Saccharomyces cerevisiae S288C: one gene and its partner. The protein of the gene in region 2 binds, or shares a complex with, the protein of the main gene of each other region. Each region holds a gene or a part of one and is shown on either strand. Other genes may lie near its edges. A codon is read from its position in the direction of its gene.

What was found.
Region 1: the proteins of BRX1 (region 2) and EBP2 are in contact, whole or in part, in a crystal structure (PDB 5Z1G), measured with the Saccharomyces cerevisiae proteins. Residues at the interface, in NP_014565.2 of Saccharomyces cerevisiae: Phe27 (codon at 1,524), Met28 (codon at 1,521), Asn29 (codon at 1,518), Gln31 (codon at 1,512), Leu55 (codon at 1,440), Lys103 (codon at 1,296), Asn106 (codon at 1,287), Gly107 (codon at 1,284), Pro108 (codon at 1,281), Met120 (codon at 1,245), Asp121 (codon at 1,242), Glu122 (codon at 1,239), Leu123 (codon at 1,236), Phe125 (codon at 1,230), Thr126 (codon at 1,227), Gly127 (codon at 1,224), Asn128 (codon at 1,221), Cys129 (codon at 1,218), Leu130 (codon at 1,215), Lys131 (codon at 1,212), Arg134 (codon at 1,203), Pro135 (codon at 1,200), Val136 (codon at 1,197), Leu137 (codon at 1,194), Ser138 (codon at 1,191), Phe139 (codon at 1,188), Asp140 (codon at 1,185), Gln141 (codon at 1,182), Arg142 (codon at 1,179), Glu144 (codon at 1,173); in NP_012749.1 of Saccharomyces cerevisiae: Val195 (codon at 1,322), Asn196 (codon at 1,319), Asn197 (codon at 1,316), Thr198 (codon at 1,313), Ala200 (codon at 1,307), Met201 (codon at 1,304), Lys202 (codon at 1,301), Ala204 (codon at 1,295), Leu205 (codon at 1,292), Arg207 (codon at 1,286), Val208 (codon at 1,283), Gln209 (codon at 1,280), Leu210 (codon at 1,277), Pro211 (codon at 1,274), Trp212 (codon at 1,271), His215 (codon at 1,262), Gln218 (codon at 1,253), Glu219 (codon at 1,250), His220 (codon at 1,247), Gln221 (codon at 1,244), Ser222 (codon at 1,241), Val223 (codon at 1,238), Thr224 (codon at 1,235), Ser225 (codon at 1,232), Glu226 (codon at 1,229), Thr227 (codon at 1,226), Asn228 (codon at 1,223), Thr229 (codon at 1,220), Asp230 (codon at 1,217), Ile233 (codon at 1,208).

What each region holds. Positions count from the first base shown.
Region 1 is NC_001143.9:124,032-127,662, reverse strand, and holds EBP2 (Ebp2p), read right to left. Parts: upstream 1,905-3,631; coding exon 621-1,904; downstream 1-620. Other genes in the region: protein kinase NNK1, read right to left, coding at 1-188; U5 snRNP GTPase SNU114, read right to left, coding at 2,120-3,631. UniProt on the Saccharomyces cerevisiae protein: Required for the processing of the 27S pre-rRNA. Probably involved in the step of the processing of the 27 SA precursor into the 27 SB intermediate.
Region 2 is NC_001147.6:185,122-188,524, forward strand, and holds BRX1 (ribosome biogenesis protein BRX1), read right to left. Parts: upstream 1,603-3,403; coding exon 727-1,602; downstream 1-726. Other genes in the region: AVO1 (Avo1p), read left to right, coding at 1-91; ATP19 (F1F0 ATP synthase subunit k), read left to right, coding at 317-523; MDM20 (Mdm20p), read left to right, coding at 1,903-3,403. UniProt on the Saccharomyces cerevisiae protein: Required for biogenesis of the 60S ribosomal subunit.

The DNA of each region.
Region 1 (3,631 bases), on a different chromosome or scaffold from region 2:
GCCCTGTTAAAAGCTGGTTCGTTAGCAGGTATATCAATTCCCATTAAGCCTCGTAGATCTCTTCCATAGCTGCGATTCGATGCTGGAGAGTCTGATATCGGCGACGCTGTACCAGAGGAATGTTGTGATGAACGTGATGATGACATCGGACTCCCATTTTGTCGAAGCTGTCGCTGCGACGTAAACATTCGTTCTTTTGGACCGTTTTGCTGAAAAGATTTCTTCGTTAGAGTAATAACAGCGCTTGCTGATTGCGTATCTTCTTACTTGCGTCCCCGATGACCCAAAGGGAACATAAGACCCTCCGTCCCCCATTGACTGTTGTTATTGAATTCAATTATCTAATCTGTTTCCCCCCACTCACAGGAAGAGCGCAACGCCATACACAAAGTTCCGGGACCTTTTCATTCCGGCCATTAATATTAGCGCCGGCGCTAGGGTTTTTGGGCAAAAACATAAGGTCTTTCCCTTTATTTTCCCGTCATCTTGGCAGGGTTACAAAAGCCTTTTAGGGCTTCGTTGGATTTAATTCTATTTTATACTAGTGTACAAAGAGATGATAGATAGTTGTATATACTTTACGTTCTGGATATATACAGTGTTCTTGCCGACATAACGGCTTAGAATCTTCTGGCACGTCTACTCTTTCCTGGTCTATTGGTCTTCCCCTTCATTTTTCTGGAAGAAAAGCCGCTGACATCAGCAGAAGAGGTAGCATCATTCTTCCTCTTGAATCTCTTCATGCCTCCTTGGCCATACTTAGCGTTTTTTGCGGCTCTCTTTCCGTTAGGCCTGCCTCTATCGAACCTTTTTCCTTCAACTTCTTCCTCTACACCGACGTTGAACTCGGAGTGATCGATCTCGTTGTGCTTTCTTTTGTTCTTCAAAGATTTGATCTTTTCCAGTGTTTCTCTTTTCTCCAATTGACGTTTCTGTAAGGTAGCGTTTTGGACTTGCTTACCAAATTTCTTCAATTGCCTTTGTCTTCTAGCTTCTTCACGTGCCTTCTTGTCACTGGCTTCTTCAATCAACTTACCCTTAATCTTGTCCATATGTTCATCACTTTTCACCATTTCAGCAAAATAATCCAATGGTCTTTTGAAGGGTACTTTTAGTCGTTTCAATTCGTCACGTGCTACTAAAACAGCGTCCAGTGATTGCTTGTAAAATGCTAATTCCCTTTCAGTATCATCGTATATGTCCTTAATATGTTCATCCGTATTAGTTTCTGATGTAACGCTTTGGTGCTCTTGGAATGAATGTTTTTTCCATGGCAATTGTACCCTTTCTAAGGCATGTTTCATCGCTTTTGTGTTGTTGACGGTTAGTTTATGATGTGGAACGACATCTGCATCAGAATCAAATTCCACGTCTGACAATGGAACGTCTTGTTCTTCTTCTTGCTCTTCCTTTTCCTCGCTTTCTTCTTTAGCAACGACATCCTCATCCTCTTCAGAATCATTTTCAGACTCAGAATCATCTTCAGACTCAGAGTCACTTTTGGCCAATTTCTCAAGATCCAGTCTTCCTTCTTCTTCTTCTTCTTCTTCTTCTTCTTCCTCTCTATCGTCGCCAGATTCATCTTCATCGCCAGACATATGCTTTTGAGCTTCGGTAGCGTCCTGTTCTTGCATTTTTTTCAATTCTTTTTTCAACTTTCTTTTCTCTTTTTTAGAAAGGGCTTGGCTTTGATATTCTTCAGTATCTGCAGCAACTTCCTTCTTAACATCGGCCTTCTTTTCTTTCTTCTCAAGCTTTTTCAAATTAGAAGCTGTAACGATAGTTGGTTCTTCTTTCTTCAATTCTTGGGATTTCTTTTTCTTTAGGTCATTTTCAAGCTTTTCAGCTTTTTCAATTTCCTTTTGATGCGAAAGCAACTCCTTCAACTTGAAACCTTTAGCCATTCTCTATATACCGTTGTTCAACTAACTGTGCTTTGTTACCGTTTAACTTTTTAACAGCGTAAAATTCTATAAAGCTCATCTCATCTGTATTTAGGCAGAAATAAAAAATTTTCAGTCCCGATGAGTAGTTATATCACTAAATACGAAGTCATATGTAAATTCTGCTGAATAAAAATATTGTGGACATATTGCTTAATTCTTATGCGCCAAGATTTTCACGGTACTAAGCCATTTTCTCTTAATTGAGCGTATAATTCAGCGCTTATATACTTTTCAAGCGTAGGACCATCATTTGACATAAATCCACCTGTAGAAATACCCTTCCGCCTTCTTGTTTTCATCACGAAATCACGACTTAAACTGTTGATAGGTGCGGGTTTCAATTTTGGAATAAACGCATCTTTATCCAAAACATCACCAGGAACCTTCCTCCATATCTTGTGCCAAAAGTACAGCTGACACATACCAAGACCATTCGTAGATAATCTCAAATCTGTCTCGAATCCTGCAGATTCAATAACCGGAACTTGTCCACGAACCTCCAACAATGGTGTCCCTGCCACTTTTATTGTTTTGTATATCCTGCTTCCACGTCTCTTCTTCATAAGTTCCTCTACTATTGGCAGCAAGGGGGCGTGGACCGTGATGTCAACTTCATAGATGGGTTCCAATAAAATTGGGATTGCTGTCAGTAAGCCAACGTAACAGGCTTTTTTCATTAGCGGAATAATTTGACTTTTCATAACGTCAATGTTTACGTCGGAAGGTACTGAGATCGATAACAATTTATACTGTACACCATAAATTGGTTCTTCTGCCAAAGGCCCCTCTTTTACAGCCCAGTAAAATCCTTGTATTATTTGTTCCTTATATTTGGATAATAATTCAGGACTGATTTCATCTGGCAAAGTGTCATTAATCAACACGTTGCCATTATAAAAAGACCAAACGTTTCTTGATGCCAACGAATCCCACCCATACTCGGTTCTCAATATTTTGGATAGTTTCCTTGGGTTGTCCATTATTCCGTCAATATCCAAGCAGTTTTGACCCTTTCCCAATGTGTTCCTGCTCAAATCCTGAATCATTTTAGAGTCCATTGGTTCAGCGGCTACACTAATCGACAGACCTGGTAAATTTTCCTCACCAAGGCGAGATATCGAATTACTTACAGGTATTGAAGCGAACGATTCATTTGAGCAACTTTCAGAAAAAACAGTTAAAGGATCAGATATTTTAATTTCTATCTTTGCATAACTCGCTCTTAGATCATACAACAAACAGTCCATATACAGCTCTCCATTTCCTAGTATTACATGTTCTCCAGATTCCTCAACTTTAATAATAACGCCTGGGTAGTATTTCGAAATTTTGTTCAGGGCATCCAATAACTTGGGTAATTCCCTTGGCAGTAAAGGTTGAAGAACAATTTTGAAAACTGCCTCGGTAATATAATCTAAAGGTTTGAAAAATTTTAGCTGTTTCATGTCCTCCTTACTCTTTACAGAGTACAACGTCGCGGATTTAATATATGCACTTGAAATACCTTTTATTAATACTATCTGTCCTTTGTGTGCTTCATGAACCGGATAGACATATCTGCCACCTAATAAGCCAATTTCTTCGACCTCACATGAAGGCGTTTCGTCATCTTCATCTTCATCTTCGTTGGAGGTTTCCGTCTTTGAGATATCATGCAACTGTCTTTTTTGGCGAGATTCAGATTG
Region 2 (3,403 bases):
CTACTTTGAAGCAGTTTCAGGTCAAGAGTGTACTGAGATCGTGACGCGATTACAAAACTTATTAAGCGCTTATAGAATGAATCATAAATAAGTAAAACCCATTATACTGCATCTTACCAGCATTAATTTTGGTTTATATCTAAATATGGTATAGAAAATACTTCATCGCGATCTCGATGGTGATTGGTCAGAGTCCGCTTCTCGATGCAAAGGGAAAAAAAAGAGCTTTTTAGGAGCAAGTCCCCCCATAGAGCACATAACTCGTTAGCATTGAATAAGGCCAGGTGACTTCAAATAATAATTTATAACTACGACAATGGGTGCTGCTTATCATTTCATGGGGAAAGCTATCCCTCCACACCAACTAGCCATTGGGACATTAGGACTGCTAGGTTTATTGGTTGTTCCAAATCCTTTTAAAAGCGCAAAGCCAAAAACAGTCGACATCAAAACAGACAACAAAGACGAGGAAAAATTCATTGAAAACTACTTAAAGAAACATTCGGAAAAGCAAGATGCGTAAATATAGCTTGATTGCTGCGCGGTTGAAGATCTTTTGTACATACAATAAATATTCTTTATATATACAGCTTTCGATATTCAAGATTTAAACATTAAATTATTAAAAAGAGGTCTATAACTAGACAGTTGCTACATCCACTCTTTTCTTGTTATATCTTTTTAATATACAATGTTATGTAAAACTCTCTGATAGTATTATGCTTATTATTTAAACAAGGCATCGTTTGATAAAGGATCGGCGGCAAGAACATTCTCTCTTCTCTTAATTTTTCTTTCCACAGCAGCTTCAGCTCTAGACTTTGCCTCCTCAGCAGCTTGTTGTTTAATTTGAGCTCTTACGACGTTTGGCGAAACATATTGTTTATTTTCATAGATCTTTGGACCACCAAATGAACCTTCTAGGATCAAAATGACAGTCATAACAAACCTAGGGCCAATTTCCACTAATGATATGTCTTCTTCGCCATCTTCATATTCTTCTTTGTTCTTAGTACTGTGTGAGATCTCATATGTCCTCACCCATATTTTATCATCTACAATACTGAAGGACATGACGTGATCAATAAATGGCTTAGATTTTCTAGCATTTGGTGGTACACCAAAATTATGCACTAGCAACTCCTTAATTAATTGGTAGTGTGGGGAGGATTCGAAACGTTGATCAAACGACAATACCGGACGAGAACCCTTTAAACAGTTACCTGTAAAATTCAACTCATCCATAGTATGCAAGTTTTGAATGTAAAATTTTATAGTTGGCCCATTTGGCGGCTTGGATAACCATAGATACAAATCTTGGTGTTTTCTGGCCTCAAAGAATAGAACATTATTACAATTGTACAACTCAGCGATTTCGTTCAACTGTTGAAGATCCTTTTTAGTATCCAATTTTGGCTCCTTTCTGGAATGAGGCAATAATCCGCTTAAGTCTTGAATTAAATGACGATGTCTATAGTTAACACCTCTACTCGAAATCAGAAGAGTTCTTTGCTTGTTCATAAATTGCTTGACATTGCCTTGCTTCTTTTCAGATTTATTATCTTTGCTCTTTCCTGCGAGGGCTTTGTAGATAGAAGACATCTTTGGTTGAACTCTTTCAACACCTGACGAATGTATAAAGAAAGACGTGAAGCAAAATAAGGCTAAGTAACCTTCTAACTCGTAAATATTATAGCAATTTCTGTATCTTTTTAGGTGATAGATTCTTTGAGAACCATCGCGATGAGCATCTAAAATTTTTCAGTCACCTTTAACGAAAATCACTGTCCACGGACCGCCGAGGGCTTTAGGAAAATAAATAATAAATGTCAGCTGCAACAGAATTCATTGGCGAAGCAACGATACATAACGAGCTCGGTACAGCAATCATCGCATCGAAGCATGTCCGACAAGATACAGGAGGAGATATTAGGACTAGTAAGCAGGTCCAACTTCAAACAATGCTATGCAAAACTGGGGCAATTGCAAAAACAATTTCCCAATGCGTTGTACTTCAAGATTTTGGAAACCTATGTTAAATTCAAGCAGTCACCTGGTAAGTTCGATTACAATAAACTGCTAGAAGAACCATATGGGCTGAAAGGGACAACGATTACGGGCGACACGCGTTCCTTGGAGTTTTTGCACAACTTCTTCGTAGAGTTAGGGAAATACGACGAAGCATTGCACGTGTATGAAAGAGGAAATTTCAAATTCCCTAGCTACGAATTGTCTTATCACTGGTTTATGAAAGCATTGGAAGATTCCAATTATAACCAAATGAGCAAAGCATCTCTACAGCTAGCTAAATACAGTGACAGTGGAAACCTGCCTAAAAGAGCATATTATTTTTGGAATGCAATCTCGATTTTAGCCGTATCAAGGTTTCAGGAAAACACTCTTTCAGATCCCAAGAAAATTTTGCTCTCCAGGCTAGCGCGCCAGTCTTTGTTAGACTTGAAACCATTTCAAAATGTTCAAGAGATTATAGTTTATTGTTTGGTGTTGGATGAACTATTCCCTCAATCTAGAGAAATCTCGGAAGAGATTGTTGCGATTACCTTTGCCAATTTTGATACTTCAGTAAACTTGTATTTGAAAAACTTTATCTTGAAGCATACCAAGTTATTGAATTCTCCACAAAAACTTTTTGAAGTTTGTTCAAAACTTATTGAAAAGGGCCTTGATGATTATGAATTGATCACAAACTTGATTGATGCTGCCTACAAACTTTCTAAATCTAAAGACGAAGTCAAACAATGGATTGATGAAAATTTGGGAGACTCAAGGAATACTCGATTGGCGCGCTTGAAACTTGATATAATGTACACCGATTCGGTTTCGGAATCATCTTTGTCGTACTATTTATCAAAGTACCATAACAAACCTTGTTGTTCAATCGATTTGAATCATTACAGCGGCCACATTAACATAGATATGCTTAAGAGCATTATGTCTAAGTACGATCCAGAGGATAAGGATTTGATTCATCATTGTAATATTCTAGAATTGGGACTTATTGGAAGCGACTCAATCAATAACTATAACAAGTTTAAGGGGACCCTGGAAAAAAAATCGGTAACGGATTATTCCTCCTGTTCTACATTCTTATTAGAAATAGTCAAGGACAAGTGCAAGAAAACTAATCCTGAATTGAAAGACGTGCTTTTGTGTATAACGATATTGGAAAATTACCAAGCCAAGGACCCTCATAACTTCGATACTATGTGCTGGCTGATTGTTTTATACATGTACCTGGGTTTAGTTCCCGATGCTTATTTCCATTTCATAAACCTAAAGATTAAAAACGTTCAAACAGATTCCCTAGATTACATGATATTCTCGAGATTTTCTACTTTGTTCCCGAATAAACAGAGCGATTTTTACTCCAAGACATTCCATG